Mus musculus: one gene and its partner. The protein of the gene in region 1 binds, or shares a complex with, the protein of each later gene. Links are inferred from orthologs where the notes say so. Each region holds a gene or a part of one and is shown on either strand. Other genes may lie near its edges.

The links. The genes of interacting proteins can lie anywhere in the genome.
Region 2: Gtf2h4 (region 1) and Polr2b share a complex: the UniProt entries of both Homo sapiens proteins name them as parts of the TBP-based Pol II pre-initiation complex. The link is inferred for Mus musculus from reciprocal best matches to the Homo sapiens genes GTF2H4 and POLR2B.

The regions. Positions count from the first base shown.
Region 1 is NC_000083.6:35,670,187-35,675,682, reverse strand, and holds the start of Gtf2h4 (general transcription factor IIH subunit 4), read left to right. Parts: upstream 1-1,939; 5' UTR 1,940-2,127; exon of another isoform or gene 2,128-2,168; intron 2,169-2,854; 5' UTR 2,855-2,857; coding exon 2,858-2,997; intron 2,998-3,585; coding exon 3,586-3,690; intron 3,691-4,325; coding exon 4,326-4,457; intron 4,458-4,720; coding exon 4,721-4,817; intron 4,818-4,937; coding exon 4,938-5,026; intron 5,027-5,206; coding exon 5,207-5,318; intron 5,319-5,424; coding exon 5,425-5,493; intron 5,494-5,496. UniProt on the Homo sapiens protein: Component of the general transcription and DNA repair factor IIH (TFIIH) core complex, which is involved in general and transcription-coupled nucleotide excision repair (NER) of damaged DNA and, when complexed to CAK, in RNA transcription by RNA polymerase II.
Region 2 is NC_000071.6:77,316,498-77,321,209, forward strand, and holds part of Polr2b (DNA-directed RNA polymerase II subunit RPB2), read left to right. Parts: intron 1-3,466; coding exon 3,467-3,579; intron 3,580-3,713; coding exon 3,714-3,933; intron 3,934-4,457; coding exon 4,458-4,616; intron 4,617-4,712. UniProt on the Homo sapiens protein: Catalytic core component of RNA polymerase II (Pol II), a DNA-dependent RNA polymerase which synthesizes mRNA precursors and many functional non-coding RNAs using the four ribonucleoside triphosphates as substrates.

The DNA.
Region 1 (5,496 bases):
AGTTATGTATATGCACAGATGTGTCCAGGTGCTACAGAGGCCAGAAGAGGGCATTGGATCCCTCCCCCTGGAGCTGGAGTTACAGGCATTTTATTTCTGTTAGATTTCTGAAGCAGCTTAAAGGGACAGGGGGCAGAAAGGAAAATGGAGACTGACTTCAACTGACCGGACGGTTTTTTTCAGACACAGCGTTAAAGTAGCATCTGCCAAAAGGAGGGGGGTACTTGGGTTTATATAGGAGGTTTGAGGAATGGGAAGTTAAATGCCGATTCTGGGGCTATGTGCAAGCCTTCAATTTCTCCCTCCTGGAGAAAAGGCCATTTTATCTTTAGATACTGACCGGCCTCGGCTGAGAGCTTGGTAACGGCAGTGAGGGGGAGGGGCTGGTGTTCCAATATAGGGCCTAGGTCAGGATATGGTTAAAGGTTTATTCTAATATTACAACCAAGATAACGTCAGACTACTCTAATTTTTAAAAGATGACTTTTATTATTATGGTATGTGAGTGCAGGACGGTGAAGGCTGGGATTCACATCGCCATGGCATGGGCATGGAAGTTGGATATCTCTCCCCCTCTCTTCAGGTCACAACATAGCAAAGCCTTTACCCACTGAGCCATCTCACCAGCCAGTGATTTTCCTTAAAATACATAGTAAAGCATAATCAAGTCCTTACATGGCCTTACCATTTTTGCCCTTGGTAAATGTGTTTCTCATCTCGGTACTGGGACTTTCTTGTGCAGATCTCTTATTCTGTTTTTGTTTGTTTGTTTGTTTGTTTGTTTGTTTTTGGTTTTTTTCGAGACAGGGTTTCTCCGTATAGTCCTGGCTGTCCTGGAACTCACTTTGTAGACCAGGCTGGCCTGGAAGTCAGAAATCTGCCTGCCTCTGCCTCCCAAGTGCTGGGATTAAAGGCGTGCGCCACCACACCCGGCTCAGATCTCTTATTCTTGTTGAGCTTGATAGCCTGTGATGTAAGAATAACAGAATTTGCCCCCATAAGAATTGGAGACCCTACAGATGACCTTAGTTGATGTCATTTTCCCTTTCCCTTGTCTTGCCTAGGATAAATTCATAAATCAAATCAGGGCAAATGATAGCTTTCTCTTAAAAATTGCAATGTAATCTTCTAACTCCCCAGGGAGTTGGAAGAGATTAAGATTGAGTGAGCAGGTGGGAGGATGGTGGAGAGATGGCTGTCCTTCCAAAGGGCCCAAGTTCAATTCCTAGCACTAACATAACAGCTCACTGCTGTATGTAATTCCAGTTCCAGGGAATCTGACTTCACATAGACATTTTGATTGATTGAGCTCCAAATGAGGGCAATTGTGTTGATCCACGTCATGTGAAGATGTTCTGCACTGATCATTATCTCAGTTTCGTGAGGAACAACAGAGGTCAAGAAACCCAGTTTGTCGCCGGGTGTGGTGGCGCACGCCTTTAATCCCAGCACTCGGGAGGCAGAGGCAGGCGGAGTTCTGAGTTCGAGGCTAGCCTGGTCTACAAAGTGAGTTCCAGGACAGCCAGAGCTATACAGAGAAACCCTGTCTCGAAAAACCTAAAAAAAAAATAAGAAGAAGGAAGAAAGAAAGAAAGAAAGAAAGAAAGAAAGAAAGAAACCCAGTTTGAGGTCTCTACATCTAACATAACACCACTAAGCTGCTTTAGTACGTCTCCGATAGGAGGCCCCGGAGCTCCTCCAGGTTTGCTGCCTCCTCCTGATCTGACAAGAGATTCACCTTGCTGTATAGGGGAGAGAGGCGCGGAATCAAAAGGTCTGACTTCGGATGTTTCTAGGGAATCCCAATGAAAAGCCACCTTTTCTCGGCCGGCCTTCTTGCGGTGCCTTTAGGGATTTGTAGTCAGAGCCTGACTCATAGTCTCCAATGTAGGCTAGAAGAGGACTACAATTCCCAAGATGCCTTGCGACAGGCGAGTGCATTGCCTATTCTAACCCCCTTTACTCTTGACACATTTCTCTGCTCTCCCTTCTCTTTGGACTGCTTATTGACTGGGTCCTGTCTGTGAAGTTCTTCGTGGTTCTCCCACCTTTTAGAATTCTCATCCTTTATTTCCAGGAGCCAATGCGAGACATTAGCACTGATTAGGCGACGGCTGGTGACCCGGGGTGCGCGAGGGGGAGCCGAGTGGTGAGGGGGTTTGAGAAGGGTAAGGGAGAGAGTTGAGCGAGAAGCGGAGTGAAAGGAAAGTCGGGGAGATGTGAGGAGCTCAGAGGCGTGGGTCTCAGTGAGAGGGGTAAGGCTGGCTGGAGGGAAAGGGATAGAAAGGGATTTAGGTTGGTAAGCATGAGGCAGTTTATAGCCGTGTCCCCAGATGAGAGCTAAGGATTTGACCCATTTGGACTGATCTGACCAGGAGGGTGGACAAGAGAGAGAAGCCTGGGCTCAAATAAGTATCTTTGTCAATGCTTAGGTGAACTTGAGATGTCATTGATATGCAAAACACTCGCAAGTATGAAACGATAAGTAATTCAGTCCACACCGGTGAGGATCTGGATTTGATCCTCAGGACCATACACAAAAATGAGACTAATTCCACCTCCTGGAGACTGAACAAAGGCTGAACTTCAAGGGCAGATATGGGATGAAAAGCCTGGTGGCCACTTGGGAAGTAAAGGCAGATGGATCAGGGGTTCAAATCCATCCTTGGCTCCATAGCAAATTCAAGGCCATTGTGAGCTGCATAATGAAGAAAAGAAGCAGGACACGAGGGGTTTGGGAGGAATAGGTGATAAGTGGCATCAGACAGGAAAGTACAGAAAGTGAACCTAATAGATCTGGAGTCAGTGATATAGGCCTGGGTCATGTGGGAGTTCTGACATTTGTCCCTCTCAGGTGATGGAGATCACCCCGGCGAGGGGTGGACTGAACCGAGCACACCTACAATGCAGGAATCTCCAGGAGTTCTTAGGAGGCCTGAGCCCTGGGGTGCTGGACCGATTGTATGGGCACCCTGCCACTTGTCTGGCTGTCTTCAGGTGAGGAGCCTTCAGAGCAAAGGGGATGTTTGGAGAATGTAATGGGGCCTGCAGACTGAAATTAGTTAGCACGGGGAGAGGCTTATTAGCCCAGCGTGAGTACCAGGGTGTTAGACATTACTCCAAAGTGTGTCAGTCCAAACCAGAAAGAGGTTGTGGGGACAGTGGGACTGCTAAGGACGTGGGAGATGGCATGAGACGTTTGAGAGACAGAGGTTGCAGGGTATTTGATCACATAGTGAACTCCAAGATTATGAACCAGAAAAACCTTGTTATTGTGGCTCAGCCCTAAGCACACACCTTTTTTTTAGCCAAGGGCTAATGTCAACCGTAGGTCAAGAGATGGAGCAACCAAGTAAACAGAAATTAGCAACGTTGAGTTGAAGGGAATTTAAGACAGTGTGGAGAATTCTCGGAGAGGGAGCTTTTTCTTTCTGGGATGTCATTGGAGAAAAAAAGGTCAGCTGGGTGCTTTCTCTGCCTCTCTGAGCAGTTGGGATGTTTGTTTTTTTTAAACCACAGGCAGATGAGGGCAGAGATGCAGGTGTGAGGTGGCTTCTGATAACATTTGGCCTCTGAACCTTACAGGGAGCTCCCCTCTTTGGCTAAGAACTGGGTCATGAGGATGCTCTTTCTGGAGCAGCCGCTACCACAGGCTGCGGTGGCCCTGTGGGTGAAGAAGGAGTTCAGCAAGTGAGTCCCGGGCGGGCGCAGCTGCTTCGAGCTTCCCAACAGCCACATTTCTCAAAGGACTTTTGTTTGGAACACTTGCAGGGTGCACACACAGAGGAGCTAGGGGAATCAGATGTGGGCCTTTCAACAGAGCCTGCCCTACACAAGGAAAACCCTCCAGAATACACCTGCAGAGGTTTCCACTGTGGAGAGTTGTGTCTCTTTAGCTGTATGCTAACTAGAACAAAACAAACAAACAAACAAAAAGACAAAGGGGAAAAAGCCGCCCCCGCACTCCCCCAACCCCAAGTTGATAGGTAGAGATAGGGAACCAGAGATTCAAGGATTATATCGTAAGTTTGATGTATTGTAAGTTTGAGGCTGTCCCAGGCTTCATAGGACCCTTCCTGAAACAAAACAAATGAAAAGGAAAAAAAAAAAAAAAAGAATTGACTTAGAAAACAAAACAGAGAAACCAACAACAATCAAAACGAACTAGGTTCTCCTTAGCATTGCAGTGCAGGTATCTGAGGTGAGAAACACAGCTTCGCCCTGCGACACTGTTCCAAGGGCCTCCCGTTCAGAGGAGATAGATGAAGCTCCCTGGAGGTCTCCTTGCTATTGGTGATACCCCACTCAACTCTGCTTCTGTCCAGGGCTCAGGAGGAAAGTACGGGGCTGCTGAGTGGCCTCCGTATCTGGCATACCCAGCTGCTCCCTGGTGGACTCCAAGGCCTCATCTTGAACCCCGTCTTCCGCCAGAACCTCCGAATTGCCCTTCTGGGTGGGTACGTCATTTCCCTCCCTTCCTGAGCTAGGCAAGGGGAACTGCTTATTACACTGGTGGGGGAGAATCTCCTGAGAGGCCTCCCCAGAGCCTCTCCCCATCCCCACCCCCACCCCTTGGAATGCTCCTTCAAGAATACATTGGACCAGGTGTGGATGTAGGGTGCAGAAAATGTCCTTTTCTTGTAGCCCTTGGGATGAGGGTAAAGACCTAGGGATGCAGGAAGCAGACAGGGTTCCTTACTCCTGTGTATCCTGGCCACAGGGGCAAGGCCTGGTCTGATGACACAAGTCAGCTGGGACCAGACAAGCATGCCCGGGACGTCCCCTCACTGGACAAGTATGCTGAGGAGCGCTGGGAGGTGAGGAGTGTGCCTCTGCTGTGCGCCCGTTCCCCCTGGGAGCCGAGGAACCGGCCTCCACTGTGCTCCGGTTCCCTGTAACCCTCGAGACCCCAGGCTCCTGACCCTTTTCGTCTCTAGGTGGTCTTGCACTTCATGGTGGGCTCCCCCAGTGCAGCTGTCAGCCAAGACCTGGCTCAGCTCCTCAGCCAGGCCGGGCTTATGAAAAGGTAAGGAGGGCAGAGCACGGCAGCTCTCCGCTCGGCCATCTCCTTGGGTCTCATATAAAATGGGTGTCTGGGGTTAGGAGGAACTGGAGAGAGCTGGCTGAGAGGAGGGGCCTAAGTGTGTGTAAGATGGACTCAGTGCAGCCTTTGCAAGCTGCCACCATCAGCCCGCTCTGTGTCTAGCACTGAACCTGGAGAGCCACCCTGCATCACTTCCGCTGGCTTCCAGTTCCTGCTACTGGACACGCCTGCCCAGCTCTGGTACTTCATGCTGCAGTATCTGCAGACAGCCCAGGTAAGAGCCAGGGCCTCGGACGGATGGCGTGCTCCTGTCCCGCTGAGTAACTCCCTCACTCCCTCTTCCTGTCTCACCTCCTGCCGCTCTGCCGCTTCCTTCCCAGAGCCGGGGCATGGATCTGGTGGAGATTCTCTCCTTCCTTTTCCAGCTCAGCTTCTCCACTCTTGGCAAGGTC
Region 2 (4,712 bases), on another chromosome or scaffold:
TTTCCTTCTCTCTCTTCCCTCCCTCCCTCCCTCCCTCCCTCCCTCCCTCCCTCCCTCCCTCCCTCCCTCCCTCCCTCCCTTCCTTCCTTTCTTCTGACAGAGTGTCTCTGTTACTAAGGTTGGCCTTGAAGTCATGATCCTTTTGACTGGCCTTCTTGTGGATTGCCCAGACTCTTGATTTTTCTTTATTGCATTGTATGGAATACATCATTAAAATCTGAGGTCAAAAAGGGAAATTAGGCATAATAGCTCGTTTAGCTTTTTTGCTGATTTTTAATTCAAACACATGTGGTTTTTAAATTATAGCAAGGAGAGTAATAGACCAGATCTATTACTGTATAATTTTACAGTTTTTTAAATAAGTGATTCACAGAAGTCCAAAATAGTTACTGAGTGTTCCGTTTGCAGAGAAATAGAGAGAGGCAGCTACAGTAGCATCTTGGTCTCTGAGAAACAAGGAAACTGCAAAACAACATGAGGTAGGGTCAGCCAGAGAAGAGCTAGAGGAAGAAAGGTTATTATCTCTAGCCGGTCAAGTCCTTTTTTTTCTAAATTGTATCCTGAGATCTGGTCTATTACTCTCATTCTAATTGAAGCTGCTGCACAGAATTTTGCTTAAAAGCAAAAGTAAATTGGCTTTTCAGGGATTGTACTTGAAAAAGGACCATAATGTGTTTTTTTAAGTCTCCCAAGTTATTTTCTCGTCATGATCTTTGCATAAGTGAAGAGTTAAAAGTCAATTCAGAGGGCCAGTGTGGTGAACACTGCAGGAAGAAGCTGTTTCTAAAGCTCAGCTGATGTAGGAAGATGGGGAACTTGAGCTGGCAGTCAAGGTAGGGATGGCTTTCCTCAGAAGAGGTGGCTTAGGTCTTTGAAAAAGAAAGTAGTTGATGTACTTAGCTTGAGAAGTGGGTGGGGCCCACAGTAAGCAGCATATGAAATTGGATGTATCTGGTTGTGAGAGCATTGGGTGAAGGTAAGATGGAGCCAGCTTATCAAAGGCTCTGGAGAATTTGTTGAAGGATTGCCAAAGGATATGTCTAACATACGCATTTAGAAAGGTAAATGGTTCTACTTGAAGTAGAAAGGGTCTAGAGATGATTGAGAGTCTTGGAGCAGCTTAGGCGTAAGATAATGTCTAAGGTGATGGTGGGAAAGAGGGTGACTTGTCCCTTGGTTCGCTGACAGCTCTACTGTTCCCTCTACTCTGGCTTGGGAGTAGTTTTCCTTCATAAATGATCTGCTTAGTTATCTCTAAGATTTGATAATAGAGAGAAATCCTGTGTCTATTTCTGTCAGAATAGTTCTTCTCATGGATTGCTTTATCAGGCAGCAGATACATGTTTAAAAACTTGTTTGTTTTTTGTGATAATGGGAATCATGGATGGGACTTCACGTAGGCCAGGCAAGTGTTCTACCGTGAGCTAAATCTTCAGGCCTCACAGAAGAGTTTCATTGATGGTCAGTCAGACTGGAAGCCTTTTTTTATAGAAAGATTTGGGTTTTAAAAGTAGATATAGCAGGGCAGTGGTGGCGTATGTCTTTAATCCCAGCACTTGGGAGGCAGAGGCAGGTGGATTTCTCAGTTTGAAGCCAGTCTGATCTACAGAGTGAGTTCCAGGATAGCAAGGGCTACACAGAGAAACCCTGTCTTGAAAACAAACAAACAATTAAACATGTAGATATAATTGAAGAGTTAGGCTTAACTTTATCTCCTCCCTGTTCTCCGCCCCCTTTGGACACTTTGTACTTTCCATCCTCACCAGTGAGAGCGCACATGTAAGTGTATAGATCATTAATAAGGATCATCTTGATTTCTGCTGTCTCTCTGCGCTTGCACATGGCCATCATGGTGCACATAAATGTCCTGGCTGATGTTTTCAAGAGCAAGTGCCAGAGTCACACATGACCCAGTTTTGTTTTGTTCCCTCCCCCTCCCCTCCCTTCCCCTCCCCCCTCCCCCCTCCCCTCCCCTCTCTTCTCTTCTCTTTTCTTTTCTTTTCTTTTCTTTTCTTTTCTTTTTGGCACGGTTTCTCTGTATAGCCCTGGCTATCCTGGAACTCACTCTGTAGACCAGGCTGGCCTGGAACTCAGAGATCCACCTGCCTCTGCTTTCTACGTGCTGGGATTAAAGGTGCGTGGTACCAATGCCAGGCCATAGTCCAGTTTCTGTCTGTCATGATGAAATGTAGTTACATTGGAGAATTTGAAATCACTGATGATTTTAGAACTGGAAAAATTATTGTGCACCATACAGGCAGGAAAGATAAATGTGTAGTGGTTAGCCCCAGATTTGAGCAGCACTAAGTTTTATTAAAATAGCAGGATAGTTTGCTCCCATCCCGTCAGTTTGGTGTCAGTGTATTGACAACCTCAGCTGGCATCGTGGTCCCTGCAGAAGCAGGATGAATACACGGGAGAAAGTTCTTGGGTTCCTTTCTCAGGATGTAAAACATAAGTAAAATGCCTGGCGGGGACGGCCGGCGGGAGCTGAGGGGCAGTGGGGTTGGGGAACACAGTTTTGATTTTTTGAAATAAATTTAGAGCAGATGACATATGTGGTAAATAATGACTGTTTGGGCCAGACAAGGTGCTGTATGCCTGGGAGGGATCTCAGCATGTGAGAGACGCAGGCATGAGGCTCCAGTAGAAGGCCTGCCTTGGATGTGTAGTAAAGCTGCACAGTGAGGCCATCTTGAGCTGAGGGAGTCTGTCTCAGCTCCCCCATTCCCAGTGAAAAAGGCCTCCTCAGATATAAGAGATGAAAGTTCTGAGTTTGGTTCCTAGGGCTCCTGTGAGGGTCTCACACCTTCTTCTGGCTTCCTTAGGGACCTACACATGTGGCATTTACTTTCAAAGATAATATATCCATTACCTAGAAATAGAGATAATCAAAATCATTTATTCATTTATTTTTGAGACATTTTCTTTATATAGCTCTGGGTGTCCTGGAATTTCTTTTGTAGACTAGGCTGGCTTCAAACTCACAAAAATCTACCTGACCCTGCCATCTGAATGCTGGGATTAAAGGTGTGCATGACCATGCCTGGTTTAAAAAAATATATTATCAATATATATTATTTAAACTTATATAATAATTATATTGGTATAACAAGTATATTGTATAAAATACTAATATAAATAATAATACAATAGTAGTTATGTATAATATAATGTAGGACAAACCACATCACTGTAATGTGGATTTTAACTTTAGAGCATCCTCATGTCAGTAAAATTGGTTAGGTTTTGTTAGGTTGTAGAGTTGCTTCTACTTAAAATGCTAATGTCAATTAAGATGGAGTAATTACTACTTCAATGTGTATTTTGGGGCAAGGTTTTGCTATATTGCCTAGTCTGGCTTTAAACTCATGATTCTCCCACCTTGGCCTTCTGAGTGCTGAGGTTACAAATGTACAGTAAAAACCTGGCTTTCCAAACTTATTATGCTTTTGTTTAATTTCAGCCAAGATATTTACTGAAGTTTGAACAAATTTACCTCTCCAAACCTACTCATTGGGAAAGAGATGGTGCCCCTTCGCCAATGATGCCAAATGAAGCCAGGTTAAGAAATCTCACGTAAGAGAGACCTTTTTTTTTTCCTTTGTTAGCATCTGATACTGAATTAAAACAAACAAACAAACAAACAAACAACTTAAGTAGTTATTTTAGCAAATAACTTCTGGCCAGTTCTGACCCACTTCTATTTGCAGGTATTCTGCTCCGCTTTACGTTGACATAACAAAGACAGTCATTAAAGAAGGTGAAGAACAGCTGCAGACTCAGCACCAGAAAACGTTCATAGGGAAAATTCCAATTATGCTGCGCTCCACCTACTGCCTGTTAAATGGCTTAACAGATCGTGACCTGTGTGAGCTGAATGAGTGTCCTTTGGATCCCGGTGGCTATTTTATTATCAATGGATCAGAAAAGGTATAGTGGTATTTAAAGCACACTAAAAAGATAGTTAACATTGAAATTACTAAAGTAAAATTAAAAGGTGTGCATTCTCAGGTCTGGAGATGGTTCAGGACATAAGACCACATGCTACTCCTGCTGAGGGTTCGAATTTGGCTCCCAGTATCACCACAGGGAGTGGCATTGTCACTTGTAGCTCCACTTCCAGGGTGCTTGATGCCCTCTTCTGGCCTCCATGGCTACCATACACACACACACACTCTAAAATGAATTTTTATAAAATGGAAAGTATGCATTCCTACAGATAATCTGAAAGTGACAGTTGAGTTATTTAAGGTGTGATACATAAACTTTTGTAAATGAAAACTTTATGAAATTGTGTATAATGTTCATTAGAAATTTGCCAGCGGTTATAGCTTGTATATTTCTGTGAAGTATAAGCCTATATGACCAGACTAAATAACCATGGAGGTTTTACTTCTTGCCATTTCAATGACCTTTTTTGTTTCTTGGCTGTAATTTTCTTACTGTTTCTATAGGTTCTGATAGCTCAAGAGAAAATGGCAACAAACACAGTCTATGTGTTTGCCAAAAAGGATTCCAAGTATGCCTATACAGGAGAATGTCGCTCATGCCTGGAGAATTCTTCCCGACCCACCAGTACTATATGGGTTAGCATGCTGGCCAGAGGAGGACAGGTATGCTAATGCTGGGTATGTGATGTCTGGGCTTTTCCTTTGTGCTTTGCTTTACCTACTTAAACATTTTTGTACTGAGGATTGAATCTAGAGCTT